Linked DNA regions of Arabidopsis thaliana. The protein of the gene in region 3 interacts with the protein of the main gene of each other region in a pairwise test. Each region holds a gene or a part of one and is shown on either strand. Other genes may lie near its edges.

Evidence for each region. The genes of interacting proteins can lie anywhere in the genome.
Region 1: the proteins of AT1G54770 (region 3) and AT5G22310 interact in a two-hybrid assay, tested with the Arabidopsis thaliana proteins (one large-scale study listed by BioGRID).
Region 2: the proteins of AT1G54770 (region 3) and AT1G06510 interact in a two-hybrid assay, tested with the Arabidopsis thaliana proteins (one large-scale study listed by BioGRID).

The regions. Positions count from the first base shown.
Region 1 is NC_003076.8:7,382,495-7,387,714, forward strand, and holds AT5G22310 (trichohyalin-like protein), read right to left. Parts: upstream 3,340-5,220; 5' UTR 2,852-3,339; coding exon 2,423-2,851; intron 2,340-2,422; coding exon 2,247-2,339; intron 2,172-2,246; coding exon 1,248-2,171; 3' UTR 1,089-1,247; downstream 1-1,088.
Region 2 is NC_003070.9:1,990,416-1,994,929, reverse strand, and holds AT1G06510 (forkhead-associated domain protein), read right to left. Parts: upstream 2,702-4,514; 5' UTR 2,542-2,701; coding exon 2,385-2,541; intron 2,224-2,384; coding exon 2,024-2,223; intron 1,907-2,023; coding exon 1,470-1,906; intron 1,387-1,469; coding exon 1,347-1,386; 3' UTR 1,089-1,346; downstream 1-1,088. Other genes in the region: GPAT1 (glycerol-3-phosphate acyltransferase 1), read left to right, coding at 1-760; AT1G06515 (transmembrane protein, putative (DUF3317)), read left to right, coding at 2,962-3,046, 3,415-3,487, 3,967-3,979; AT1G06500 (uncharacterized protein), read right to left, coding at 4,344-4,514.
Region 3 is NC_003070.9:20,432,115-20,437,108, reverse strand, and holds AT1G54770 (Fcf2 pre-rRNA processing protein), read right to left. Parts: upstream 2,560-4,994; 5' UTR 2,307-2,559; coding exon 2,095-2,306; intron 2,015-2,094; coding exon 1,954-2,014; intron 1,877-1,953; coding exon 1,799-1,876; intron 1,713-1,798; coding exon 1,600-1,712; intron 1,400-1,599; coding exon 1,294-1,399; 3' UTR 948-1,293; intron 818-947; 3' UTR 656-817; downstream 1-655. Other genes in the region: AT1G54773 (uncharacterized protein), read right to left, coding at 326-357, 450-486; AGL85 (AGAMOUS-like 85), read right to left, coding at 2,712-3,197.

The DNA of each region.
Region 1 (5,220 bases), on a different chromosome or scaffold from region 3:
TAGGTTCATTGTATATATCAATGTTTATTATACAGACAAAGGAGGAGACAAAGAGATAAACCACACACGAACTTGATAAGATCATCACTCTGACAAAATATCTCCCTATAATGCGAATGTTTTTAGCATTTGACCTTTCTCATTCAATGAGAGAAAATTAGTTAGCCTAGTGGCACTATATTATGCTTCAACTTTAGTAGTTTTATTTTGTTATACGAGTTAATGATTTATCCCTAAACTATGTAAAAGTATGAAACAAAAAAAGAAAGACAAACTTTTGGAACCCAAAACCCCTTGATTTGGTTTAATGGTACATATATATATGGTTCTAAGCTAAAATATTATATTGAGTGGGGGACATAGAGTAAGGCTGATTGGTATATGCATATATCTTTCACACGAATTGACCTATTACCTAATCATGTGTATATATGATCGAAAAATGAAGATCCGTTATTGTTCGTTATTGTTCATGTCATCTTATTAATTTTTGTAACTTTTTTGGTTGAATTGTTACCAAATATTCCCAAATAGGGTAAAACGTAACGGATATATAGTTGAGACAAAATCACATGGGAAGATGGAACGATGCTGTCCAAATGTCTAGACAATAATAGAGAAAATGTCTTGTTTCGTTTTTGATTCAAAATCTTAAACTAATCCTTTCTTGAATCAATTATATATCTCATTATTGTTCGTTCTTATTCTCATTGTTGTACTAATCATTATGATTTAATTTACACCAAATCAACGTTTCCATGTGTATATCTTCAATGCCACCAATAAATAAGTTCTTTAATAGTTATATACAATGTACAATTCACCTCCAATTCATTCCAAGCATGATTTGTTTGGTTTCCCCTTATTCTCTACATCTACATTATGGTCTAATTAGAGTTAGTTACAAACATAAAAACTCGTACGTAATGAATTGTTGTTCTCTAAAATAAGCACTTAAGTTCCGTAATAGACTTCAAATTCTGACAAATCACTTGATTACAAACTTGAAACTTCGATCATAAAAACGGAATATTTTGATAGAAAATGCAAATAATGATTTGATTGGATATGTGTAGTAAATTGAGGTTAAACCATTGTAGACGAAAAAATGTGATATACCGGCAAAAAATATTCCGTAATTGATTTTGTATTTCAAATTAAATTGAATAAATTACAAATACTGAAATATTATATACTATAAAAAAAAATGATTTCTTTTTCTTCCTCGCCGGCGCTAGCGGTGGTGATTACACAAACTCAGAGCTTGGTAAATTCCGATGATTCCACTGCTCTGACGATGAAGGACCAATACATCTAACATTTGAAACAATGTAATCTCTCAAAGTCTTCAAAGACTCATCTCTCTCACCATTCTCAACAATCACTGATCTCTTCTCCACCGGATCATCATCATCATCATCGCCGCCGGAGCCATCAAATCTCCGACGATCTTTCAGGCTATCAACATAACCCCATTTACTACCACTCTCCATGTTCAACTCAATGGACTTAAGATCACTCTCCTCATCATCATCAGAACCAGAACCATCAATCACCTCCAAAATCCTACGAATCTCCGACGACCCTTTTCCTTCTTCACCATCCAAAACCCGCCGGAGCTCCTTCTTCAGCCGCTCCACGGCGGCGTATTTATCTTCGAACTCAAACTTCGCCTCCGTAAGCTTCATTTGAACTCTCTCTTCCCTCAAAACATCAGCTATATGCATCATCTCTCTCTCTTTCTCCATCTCCTTCTTATCATCTCCGATTCCTTTAGTTAGCTCATCACAAACCTCTTCAAGAACATCTTTAGCTCTCTTCTCTCTTTTCATCTCCTCCTTCATCTTCCTCTCTGTTTCTTTAGCCTCCGTGAGCTCTCTCCCTAATCTTCTATTCATCTTCTCTGTTCTTCGCCGGAGTTTTCTCTCAACCATCGCCTCTTCTTGTAGACTCTCTATCAACCTCCGCTTCTCCTCTTCCTCTTCATCTAATTCACTCATTAGATGCTTTAGTGAAGATCTTGCTCTGTCTAGTTCACATAACAAAGCAGAGATCAAACGATTGCTTGCTGTCTTGTGATCATCTCCGAGCTCACCGATCCTTTTTAATACCTTTACCAGTTCTTTAGACGTTGTTAATCCGTCACTGACATTCTTGAAACGAGTTTTCACCTGTAATATAATTAAGAATCAGACCTTTCTTCTTCCGCAAGAAAAGTGTTTTTAGGGTAAGATTGCAAATCATACCGAGTTTGCGCCAATGATTTTGTATTCAATTGGGTTTAATTTCTGAGGATTTGTTGATCTTCTACGAATCATATCGTCACAGAGATCGATTCTCTGTGCAATTTTGATTTTTCAGACTTAGAATTTCAGAAAGAAAAAAAACACAGAGGAAACTTGAAACTGAAGCAAACCCTAACCTCTGAGCTTAGACGAGAAATCGGATCGGATGATCGTGGCGGGAAATCAATGGAAGAGAACTCTGTTGATTTCTTCGCTCTGTATCTCGATGGTTTCTTGCTTCTCAAGCAATCTTTATCAGAATTTACCGGAGGGTCTGCGTCGTCGTTGATTTCCCACAGCGTCGCAGCTAGCTTTCTCGCCGACACGCAGCTTTTCTGCAATTGATGATGATCTATAGGAAGATTTTCCGGCGAAAACGATAACAGAACTGGAGTTTTAGCGGCGGTGATGGACTTAACAGGAGTTCCTGAGCCACCGTCGTCTTGAGCGGCTCTTTTCCCGGCGAAAATTGCACGTTTGAAGCGGTTTCGACGAGCAAGTGAAGAAGAAGAAGAGGAAGAACCACCTCTCTTCCTGATCTTACAACCTTTCTTCCGTTGTTCCATAGTTGATATTCAAAACAACAAATCAGAACACAAAATTTTACCAAATCTTGCCGGAAAACAAGAGAAAAAAATAGGATTGAAATTGGTGCTTTTTAGGAGAAGTGAGTCATCTTCTAAGATCAGAAGCAGTTTCTGGAAGATTTTGTTTTTGAATCTCTAAATAGACTTTAAAGTGAGTGAAAGAGAAAGATAATACAAAAAGTGAAAGTTAAGATGATGTTTTTACTTCTTCTTAAAAGCAAAAGAAGAGAAGAGTAATAAGATTCTTGATCCCTTTGAAGACGTTGTGATTTGTGAAAAAGAAGTTTTGAATCTGGGAAATTGTGTTTTATTTTCTTGGGAGAAGAGAGATGTTGAAGAAGAGGAAAGAAAGATGGAGACAGTGTGGTGTTTTTGTGTTTGTGCGTTGTCTATTTGGGCAATGTAAATTTTCTTTGGAGGGTTCATGAACCGATGTTGTCCAATTTCGTCATTAATTTTAACAAAAATAATTTCATAATCAATGAGTACAAATATTGTTGCCGCTAACTCATTAATGCAACAATGACTTGCAAAAAGATATCATGGAATCCATGTTTCCAAATTAGTGCTTTCTAAAGAGTTTAGAATCTTTAGACCACAAGTTAACCTGGTTTGATCGGATTAGACAGGATTCTATTAAGTTTTTGTAGGCTTTTCTGGAGAAGAAAAAAAGAAGAGCATCAAATAAAGACAACGTACTAGATTATCAAAACTAGCATTAACCTCTATGCTAACGTCAAAAGCTAACATGTGTTTTCTAGAACTTGCCAAAAGTCGAACAGAACACGGGTTTAGGTCACAATTTAACCTCGTTTGATCGGATTAAGACCCGACTCATTTCGTTTTTGATTAGTATTTTTTTTTTGGGAAATAATATGAACGTCAAAAGAGTTAAAGACAACGTACTACGTACTACTATAAAGTAGCATTGTTTTCAACAAACATGAATATGGGTGACATATTTTGAAATAAATGAATATGCATAGACAAGGCAAGATACATGAGCCAAGAAAGTATACTCCTTTTTTCTTATGTTTTAGGAAAAAAAATTGTATTGAATTAGATGATGTTTTTTTATTTTTAATGCAAAATTGATTAGTTTTTATTGATTTTGACGATTTATATCATGCAGATTGTTCAATTATGATTGAATAGTGTTTAGAAAGATAATATATAGTATTTTTGTTTAAATGCGAATATTTGTTATACACAATCCAAAAACACAAACAGAAATATAATTATTATAAATCATTTTCGTTTAGGATTGAATAGTTCTTCATTTTATGTTTTAGGATTGTGTTTATAAACTTATGGCTTTTGTCTAGAGAGGTAGGTATTAAGATCAATACACTAAAATTTTACAGACAGTTGTTATAAGTTATTGGAATTGTCGCACATCGAAACTTTGACAATTTTGACACTAATATATATAGTAGATGTTCAATCATTGCTAAAAATCTCTCATTAAACAATCATAGTTACACAATGAATACATGGTTTTAGATTTTTGGATTCATAAAAAAAAATATTGCTGCTCTAAAACATATAGGATTTTTTGAATGTAAATCAGACATAAAATTTCCTAGATGCCTTAACGATTACTACTATCCAATCATAATTCACAACTCAAAACCAATGATTGTCTCTATACTAATTTGAACACAAGTTTTGTGATTGGCATATGAATTATGAAAGACAGGCACATGCTGAGTACAAATAATAGTAAATACTTATGGAACATCCCAAAGAGATAGATGCCTTCTCTGCCAGTCAAATCAAATCCATCCTCCAGATTCTTTTAACTCCATTACAAATAATTTAACATATTACTAATTTAAAAATAAATTAATACGAGTAAAAAAGAATTTTAAAATGTGTGAAGACTAGAGAAGTGCCACGATGATAGAAGAAAAATACAACATAGATGAACGGTTCAGATTAAAAAGAGTTCTAGTCTGTTTCTCTTTTATTCCTTTGAGTCTTTGACTACTACTCACATATCACATGGAGAATTTGACAAAAATGTCATATCACTATACTTTTATTCAATATACTAACTACTCTTGCAGCAGCAATCTAAACTCTACTTTAAAAACGACGTTCTTTTTTGTCAAATAAGCTAAACTAAAAAAATATCGTTTACAATATACAATACATACTATGGGTAATTACATACATTCAATACGGGTAGATACGGACATTTTGAACTAGCAAATCGGTTTTAACATTAGCATTACAAAACAAACATAGGAAACAAAAGAAGATGACAAAAATTTCTAACTCTTCTCTACGTCTTCATAATATATCACAAATGTAGACCACATTTACACCTAATCGGAATAGTCTGC
Region 2 (4,514 bases), about 18 Mb from region 3:
AACACCATTAGCTACATTAGCCATGTTCATATGGCTCCCTATCGGATTTTTACTCGCTGTCTTCAGGATCTCGGTAGGAGTCTTTCTTCCTTACCATGTAGCCAATTTCTTGGCTTCTATGTCCGGTGTTAGGATCACTTTCAAGACCCATAATTTGAATAACGGTCGTCCAGAGAAAGGTAATAGTGGAGTCTTGTATGTATGCAACCATAGGACCCTCCTCGACCCAGTTTTCCTCACCACTTCGCTGGGCAAGCCCTTGACCGCGGTTACTTACAGCCTAAGCAAGTTCTCCGAGTTCATAGCACCTCTCAAGACGGTTAGCCTTAAAAGAGATAGGAAGAAAGACGGTGAGGCAATGCAGAGACTATTAAGCAAAGGAGATCTAGTGGTTTGTCCGGAGGGAACCACATGTAGAGAGCCTTATCTACTAAGGTTCAGTCCTTTGTTCGCTGAGTTAACTGAAGACATTGTTCCCGTGGCTGTAGATGCTCGAGTGAGCATGTTCTATGGGACAACTGCGAGCGGGCTCAAGTGTTTAGACCCTATCTTCTTCCTCATGAACCCTAGGCCGGTTTATTGTCTTGAGATTTTAAAGAAGTTGCCAAAAGAGATGACTTGTGCAGGAGGCAAGTCAAGCTTTGAAGTTGCGAATTTCATACAGGGAGAACTTGCTAGGGTTTTGGGATTTGAATGCACTAATCTCACAAGGAGGGATAAGTACTTGGTTCTTGCTGGAAATGAAGGCATTGTCAGATAAACTATTCCGAATTTTCATTAGTTTTTTTGTTTGTTTGAAAAGCTAAATATTATTGTTATTTCAGGACTTAGATGTTTAATTCTATATGGTTGATTCATTGGCATCATTTCTATTTCTTATCACTCGGGACCATTGATATGTATTGAAAATGTTTGCTTTATATGATTTTGTTTCTGGATTTGTATAGTCCATAATCTCAACCTGTCGCTTTAGTGCCATTAATTTTATTCCTAGAACAAATGAAATGATTTCAGAGTTAGTTGAAATCAATATTAATTGTATACATCTAATCTAATAGTATGTTATTCACTTATTATTTACTTAATGATGCTCCTAAGTATTGATATCACATTAATAATCATGATCCCATATCACAACAACATTAACGTGAACGACCATATTAACTTCATATCACATCAAAATTTAATGTATCACCTTAGAAGATATTAATATTCACACCAAGAAAATGACTATACCTGTCTAAACAGAATGATTAAAGAAAGGAAAATTGCTAGATTAACTTTTCATACCAAGAGTGGCTTCCTTTCTTTAGTTCACTGCGCTGGTAAGTAATGCTTGAAGCACACTAACTGATGTTTGCCTCTTTGCAAATGATATTTGCGATTCTACACAAGCAAAACAAAACTTAATGGACTGAGTAATTCTGCAGTGTTAGAAGTAAAACTTAGTGATGCTTTGAATGCATTACCTTTCCCTCACACGACGAATCTCTTCAAGAATTTCTGCAGTCTGCTGAACCTTAAGATTCTTGGGTTTATCTTCATGATTAAGCACCAAGGATGCAACATTTACAACAGTAACTAGTTCAGCTTCGATTCTGCTAAGTTTCTGGTCTAAATTTTCCAAGAAAGATTCATAAGAAGACACTTCTTTCAGGATGCTACCTATTGAAACATCTTCTAGTACATTATTATTGGTATCAAGAAGTTCTTGGTAATCCTCAACATTCCTTTCAATAAGTTGAATTCCCTCAGAATCCAAGTGAGTGTGGTCATTTTCGACCCCGTCTTCAGTAGATTCGGGCTTTGGCGATACAATGTGGATACCACCTGAAGTATTCTCTCCATCCTCTTCGAGATCCAAAGATATATTGCCTATCAGCTGTGTTTCCTTGACAGATATTGCCTGAAACCAAACCAAGCTTTCAAGACATAGTTAGATAGATTTCTGGGGCAATTGAAAACAAACAAACAACCAAAACAATAACATTTCTTAACAAGTAAGAGTATTGTTTGTTTGTACCTCGTTAAGTTTGGAAGAAAGCGTATCGAGCAACTCGATACGAGCTTTAGCCTTGTCCAAAGCTTGCATAACTTTTTTCTTCTGAAGAAGTAGATCTCTGGCATCATTCTCTTTCCCTGTTCGAACATTGACAGCTGCTTGTTCCCGTAGATTCTCTGCAGCCTCAGATAATCTCAAAAGTCTCAACCTATTACTGTTTGCTGGACCAACAACAACAAAGACCAAAAATAAATCAAATTGACATCATCAATCACTGGATTCACAAGCAGTAAAACCATGCTGAAACCAGCACCTCATCTTTCCAAAGTCTACGACTTTGAAATCACACATTAAAACGAAGATTAGCGAATAAAGATTCCACCTTTGGCACGAGTGGACTCTGCCTCCGCGTGAAGCCGATCAAGCTGGGAGCGAAGAAGGTCAGAATTTGCGGTGGCAGAGAAGCATCTCAGGCTCGTTGGAATCCTCCGAGACTGAGCAATCACCACCGGAACTCCGCCGATGGTCGTCGTCACCATGTTTGGTCTTCTTACAAAGCGCACACGTTCTGTGACATTGCAGTCTCCGTTATCCGGTTAGTTCTACAAACCGATTTTGAATACCTGGTTCATCTAAACCGGTAATTAAGACTAAACCGGGGTGGGAAAATGAATTGAGGATGAGATTAGTATTTACCGTGACAGAGTTTTCCAACTTTGACGTCTCCGTCAAAATTTGATTTCTCTTCTGTATTTGACGACGACACTTCAATCAAAATCTGGAGTCAGATACAGTTCCCTAGATCGAGAATCTCCAGGCGCTTTGTAATCCTGTTTAGTATATCTTTGTCAAGTTCTCTGTCAGAGATTTACCGGGTAAATTTTGAATCTTGGATCAGGTTTTTGTCAATTTCAGATTTGTAATCTCCCGCTTCTTACTGTAGGAATCGATCAGAAGATATGAACTGGGTTCAACGCAAAATCTACCTTTATAATGTCACATTCGGGCTCTACATGCTTGATTGGTGGGAACGATACCTCTTCAGTATCCTTTTTTCCTCACTCTATCCCTCCATGCTTCATTCGTTCTCTCCATCGATTTTGGTTTATCTGTGCTCCAATTTCGATTTACCCTTTCATTAGAAAGATGCAAGTTTTGATTTTTACATCTTTGGTGATATATGGTGGCATTGTGTTCTGTTCTCTTGTGTTGTCGTCTTAAGCATTGTGTCTGTTCAATTTTAGAATTTTGTTTTTAAAAAGCTACTTTCTTAAAATTTTGTCTTCAACTTCAGAGTTTGGATTATAGTCTCTACTGAATAATATACTGTCAATTGAGATAATTTTTTGCTAGTTTACAAGGACTTAAGATCTTTGCTTGCATCTTCTTTGCCTTTCCTCAACTCTTTTCAGATTCTTTGGTGGTTGTTTTGATGTGGTTCGTTTTATACAACGGTACTCGCTACTTTTCGGAGCTTTTCCAGAGGTAAAACACTTGATGATGCTCTTTGCGCACACCTTAAGCTTGTTAAGGTTTCCTTGACACTAATTTTGCTATTGTTGTAACAATTTTTGGTACTTATCTAGTTCTTTTTGCTACTTTGGTCTTATGGTTTCATTAGCGGGTTTCTAAGTGATGAGTGTTATGATACAATATGCTGTTTGGCCTCATCTTCATCTCTGAAACAAGTTTCACGGTTTCCCATGATTCGTAGTATATGTTTTCACAAAAGGATAAGTCCATCATTTACTTAAACATTATCCTACCTTCTCTTGTGCATTTAGTTAGGGTAGATATTAAGCCTCCCCAGAAGGTGATTGGATTGGAGTTAGAGAAGTCTTTAGTTTGCCTGATGGACTTACTGCTGCTGCTTGCTATCTGAATCTTATTATGCTGATTGTTCGAAACTTTTGAGAAGCAATTGAAGCTCTTTCATGATAATTTCTTGTATCCTCGCATTGCAGGCATTTGACATGAAAACATGTCTTGTTTCTCGCACAGTAGAGCACGAAAAGCCTAGATCATCCAAAGGCATGTACGTTTGGTTCCAATTTCTGAGACGTATACCAGCAAAAATCCCTCTTTCGGCGTCACCTCTGTTTTTGTTAATTTTCCTCCAAAGGCTCTAGGACAGTTCTTATGTCTCTATATTATTTGTTCCCATGTTTTTGCAATTAACAGAAATGATTTTGTAGACTCGTAAGATCGCAAGTCTTCCTGTTGTATTTCCAGTTCACTTAGAGACATAATAACATAGTTGCAGGAGTTAATGAACTTGCGGATTACATATAACAGAGCATAATTTTTAAGAGGGAGCTCTGTTCTAAATCTACAAACGAACTTAGGAAGAATCAGGGGTAACCCAATCCTTTGGCATTGCAGAGTTGAAGATCTGAAACAGCAAAGCTTGATCTCTCTTGCCTGGTCTTTTTGAACCAAATCCTTGATGCAGACCAAGTTCAACCGCTTCTCTTCCTTCTTCCGCTATTCTTTTCCTAATAGCTACCAAAGA
Region 3 (4,994 bases):
TGCAATCCATAAACCAAATCAATCAAGCTTTACTTCAGGTTTTAGATTTCAAAACCAAAAGAAGAAATTTATGTTGTATAGAGACCAAATGAGCTTCATTAGGTAGAAACTAAGAAAACAAACGATTTACAAGAACAAGGTGTAGATTGGTGTAGATTGCAGTCACAAATGAATTGTTGTTTCAGATATCGGCTCGAATTAGAATCGTGGGATTCAAGTTGGGCTTACGTTGCATTGCAAGCCCATTTCATTGGCCATGGCCTTCAGAGAGGATGGTCTCAGTTTTGAACTCTCTCTCGAGAGAGACATAAGAAATAAATCCGAATCAATCAAGAAAACGGGGACTCGGTTTAGACACTGCCAAAGAATGTGACCAAATCACTTGAGAAAATGCTACAAAGTCTACTAAAGAAGACTTCTCTAACAGAACAGAAAACAAGATTACTTACAGCAGATGTAGAAGAACGTTAGAGGAGTCGGTCTCATCGTGTCTTCTCAAACTAGCGTCTCTCTCTTTCTCAAACTGCCTGTAATCAGCACTCTCCAAGAAACTGACTTTGTCGAGATACTTAGTAAGAAATTAGATTCTAACAACACCGAGCCAATACACAGATTCAAAAAAAAAAAAAAAGCAAGCTTAAACAGTTCAACTTGACATAGATTTAAATCCTACACACACAATTCATCTTCTTAATTCCAAAGAGCTGATATAATATCATAGAACAACGCCGAGCGAAAACAAAAATTCAAACAACTGACCTCAATCTTTCCCCTGCTCGAAGCAGCTGCAGCAATACTCTTAGCCTCCTCATTACAACTATGATTCAAAAGAAGAAAGTCACATAATTTAGATCTTGCTGAATACCAAAGTTTTGCTGTGCTGACATAAATATGTGTGGCATGGTCAGTGCCAGATGACTCAAACAGGGAGGTACTATGAGTGCTACCTGAAAGTATAAAACTCGATGCTCTCGTGGTTGGACCCTGCAATTCTGCAAAAGGTGTAAACTAGGACTCAATTTCAGTCTTGCTGAAACAAGTTTCCCACCTAGTAGCTCTAGACAAGGTTTGGTTTTGGATATACATAACATAAGCACCATAAACAACAAGAGTTATTACAGTTATCAAAGGTGTAACCAATAACACAAAATCCTTTAAACAAAGGCCATAAACAACAAGAGTCATTACAACCTATATCACCGCAAGAAAGTGTATCCAATACTATGACCATATTCTATTAAAAATAGAAAAAATGTGTCCCAAAACTATGATCATACTCTTAACAAAAATAATTCAGTTCCTTCTTGGCTTTGTGTTCTTAGACTGGTTTCCCTTTTTATTCCATTTCTTATTCGTAACAGCTCTACTCTTCTCCTCAATCTCCCTAACTTTACGCTTCCTGTAAAACCATAATCAACACAAAAACATTCACTTAACAAAGATTGCACATGTGCTATATGAATACAAATTCTCAAAAATACAAATTCTTGATAGAATAGATAAACCACACACTTATTTTACTTACATCTATCAATAATACTTACAGAATTTAAGCATTTCCTATACATTGTTTCTTAATAGACAATGGTAGTAACTAACCTGTAGAGAGCAGTTTTAGGATCTGAAACCAACTCATCAGCAAGAGTTGCTTTTCTATTCTTCTTTGTCAATCTCCCATAAAACTCTTCAGCTGGTTCAATTACTGTACCAATCTGTTTTTTTTTTTACAACAAAAGTTTGTGTTAAGACAGAAACCGAAAGAGACGGTTATTCTCTTTGATCTAGTTCTGAAACTTGCCTGGAAATATTTTTCAGCTAGTTTAGACCGTGACACAGATTTCTTGTAGTGTAGAGCAGGATCCATTACAGTTCTCAACTACAATAAAGATACAATTAGAATAATGTAAGGACTATGGAACCTAAAACAACAACAAAAGCAAAAGAATCTATTACCTTAAGCAACTGAAGATCTCTTTTCAACTCAGGAGTCATTGTTGGAGCAGGCATATCAAACCTATCCACAGTTTGAAGAAATACAATTTAATCACAAGCCGGATCAAACTAATCCGAGTAGAGGAGATAAAGAAGAGTTACCAGTTAGAACCAGTAGTGTCTTTGAGTTGTTTTCTAATCATCTTGTTAATCTTCCTTGGATCATTAGGTGGAAGACAAAGACCATCAACAAGCTCTGACTTAGAACTCTCAGCTGTTTTGCTTCTGGTTGAACCAGTTTTCAAGTCTAAGGATAAGCCTGGAAGCTTTGGTTCCCATTTAAGACCGATCAGTGGTTGTTTAGTCTCTGCCATTATTGTAAATTGCCTTTGTTCTCTGTGACCCGGAAACAAAAACACTGAAACTTGTCGAGAACTCGAAGAATCAGCTTGTCGAGAACTCTTCCTAAGCTGTAGAAAGTGAAGAGTAGTAGAATTTTAGTGTTAGAGATCAATGGAGATCGACGGAGATGAAGATTGGAGATATTAGGGTTAGAGATTGAGTAGATGATAGATCACGAATTGGGCCTAATGGCTGTAATGGGCTTCTTTTATGTATAAAATATTTCAGTTTCATTAATCCATTGCTGGATGTTGTAGAAAACAATAACAATTCATAATGTATAAAAAAGAAAAGACAAAAAAAAAAACATAATTCTTAAGACTCAAAAATACTTAATTAGTAATGATCTACTAATTAAAATCTTAATCATTAATGGATCATTTGTTATTATTCTCAGCATCTCCTCTTTGGATCCTTGCAGCAGCTTCATTACACAGTTTCTCATAGAGCCCTTCACACTTTTCCATTATCTTCTTCGCCTCTTCGTGATCTTCCACCTCCTTTGGATCCACTTTCCACCACGCATCCTCATCTACGGGCATTGTCTCCGCTAATGCAGCTGCCTTCTTTACTTTGGCTTCTTCCGTCTTTGCCTCCTCCACCATTCTATTGTATACTTTGCAAAGCTCTTGAATCTTCGCTTGTTGGTGAGCATTCATGACCGATCGTTGCAACGATGATGAGGCCTCACGATTGAGAAATCGCTCTGCCACGGCTTGAAAAGACGGACTGCCGAATGTGTATGGTTTTCCTGAGCAAGAGTATCCGAGAAACGCAACTTCAGCACCACAGAGAATGGAAAGCTCATTGCTTATTGTAGATTCCATTTCGACGCTTAGATAATGTGACCAATCTGTCTTCATCTTTTTCAATTTTTTTGATGTTAATCATTTGCTTTCCTTTGGTTTTCTTGGGATTCATTTTGGAAGAAAACAAAAATATGAATTGACTATAAAGAAAGGAGAAATTTAGATTAAGTATGTGTTTCTCTTTTTTTTTTTTTTTTTGTGGGTGCAAGATTGGGTTTATATAGATGGAAAAATGGTAGTAATTTAAATTGCATAAAAATTAGTCAATCTGTAGATCAATGTTTGGAAGTTTGGTAATCTTTGTTGTTCGCATAGTTAAAGGTTATAAGGATTTTTGATGTAAGGAATTTGACTGTATGATTTTTAAATTAATTGGTAAAGACTGTGATTGTATGAACTACAATTTTAAATAACTACCAAATATGTGGGAGAATAGATTTTAATACAAAAGGAAAAAGTCAATTGAAAGTATTTTTTAAGAAATAATATACGACTATATGTTTTCGGAGTTTATATATATGGGAAGAAAAAAAAATATTATAAGTTGTTATTTAATTATTTCTAAAATTATGTTTACGTGATTTTTTAAGAAAATGAAAGCAAAGAGTTTTCGAAATTTATATATATATATATATATATATGGGATAGAAGAAAAAAAAAGAAATTGGTAGGGGACGGGGAGATAATGCCTCCCCAAATTTATTCATAGCAACATACAAAAACTTAACAAGCAACAACATGCCATCGAATTGCCAAACAACGGGCATCATCCGACAAAAGAGAACATCTTGGAATAGTATCTAAAAAGTGAAAAACTAAATTTAAAGAAAAAGCATGGTTAGCTAATTCATCCGCAAAACGATTATCCTCCCGGTAAATATGTGAAATTTTGATATTCTAATCCTTTGATATAAAGCCATGTCACAAGCGTAACAGGAAAGACAGCGGATAAGTTTCACTAACCCTTATCTTCAGAAAACCAACCACTACTTCCAAATCCATTTTAAGTTCTAACCGAGAAACTCGTTTTCTACATGCGATGTATAGGCCGTAATAAACTCCCCATAAGGAGGTGACTTCCTTTTATTAGGCTTAACATTTCCGTTATCAAAACGTTTCATGCAATCTCCTATACTTGAAGCTTTCCTAGGGAATCAACACGGCTCCTACTCTAATTTTTAACTCAGTTTTCTTATTGCATTTCAATGTTTTGCGGACCACAAACTTTTTCCCTAGCTTTTGTTTTCTTCTCCAAAATTCAATGTCTCGTATCTCAACCCGTCGAAACTTTTCTTCAGTTCACAAGAACTTTTAAATATGCATTGTATCTTGGGGTTATATGTGGCGTAAAGGCCTGTGACCTGTCGATTGTGGAGGGAAATGGAGTCTATAAATGCAACCTGCAATCTTAGAATTTTGACAACATTAATGTTCCAATTTTCAACAGACAGCTATATATGGACGAATGACCAACAATTGGACCGATCAGACAGACTCGTTTGCGTTACATTGCCTTCTATCTTTTCACCTATGTTTTCCTTATTTCTTAATTACGAGGGTCGAAAAGATTTTAACTAACACCAAACTAAGTTCGATTCTAAAACATTAAATGATGAAACATTGAATTATAACATATGAATTGTGGCCTATTCCACTAAGTATCATTGCTGAACTAGTAAAACTCTTAGCCGAAGCTTAAAAATCGTCAGTTCGATATTTTTGGAACGAAACTAATATTACATGTTGTCGTTTCGTGTCTGAGAGGATTACGAGTTTTACTCTAAAATCTTGTATTAAAAAAAAAAAATTGTGGCCTATTCCGGATTCATCATAATTATTTTTAAAACTGGA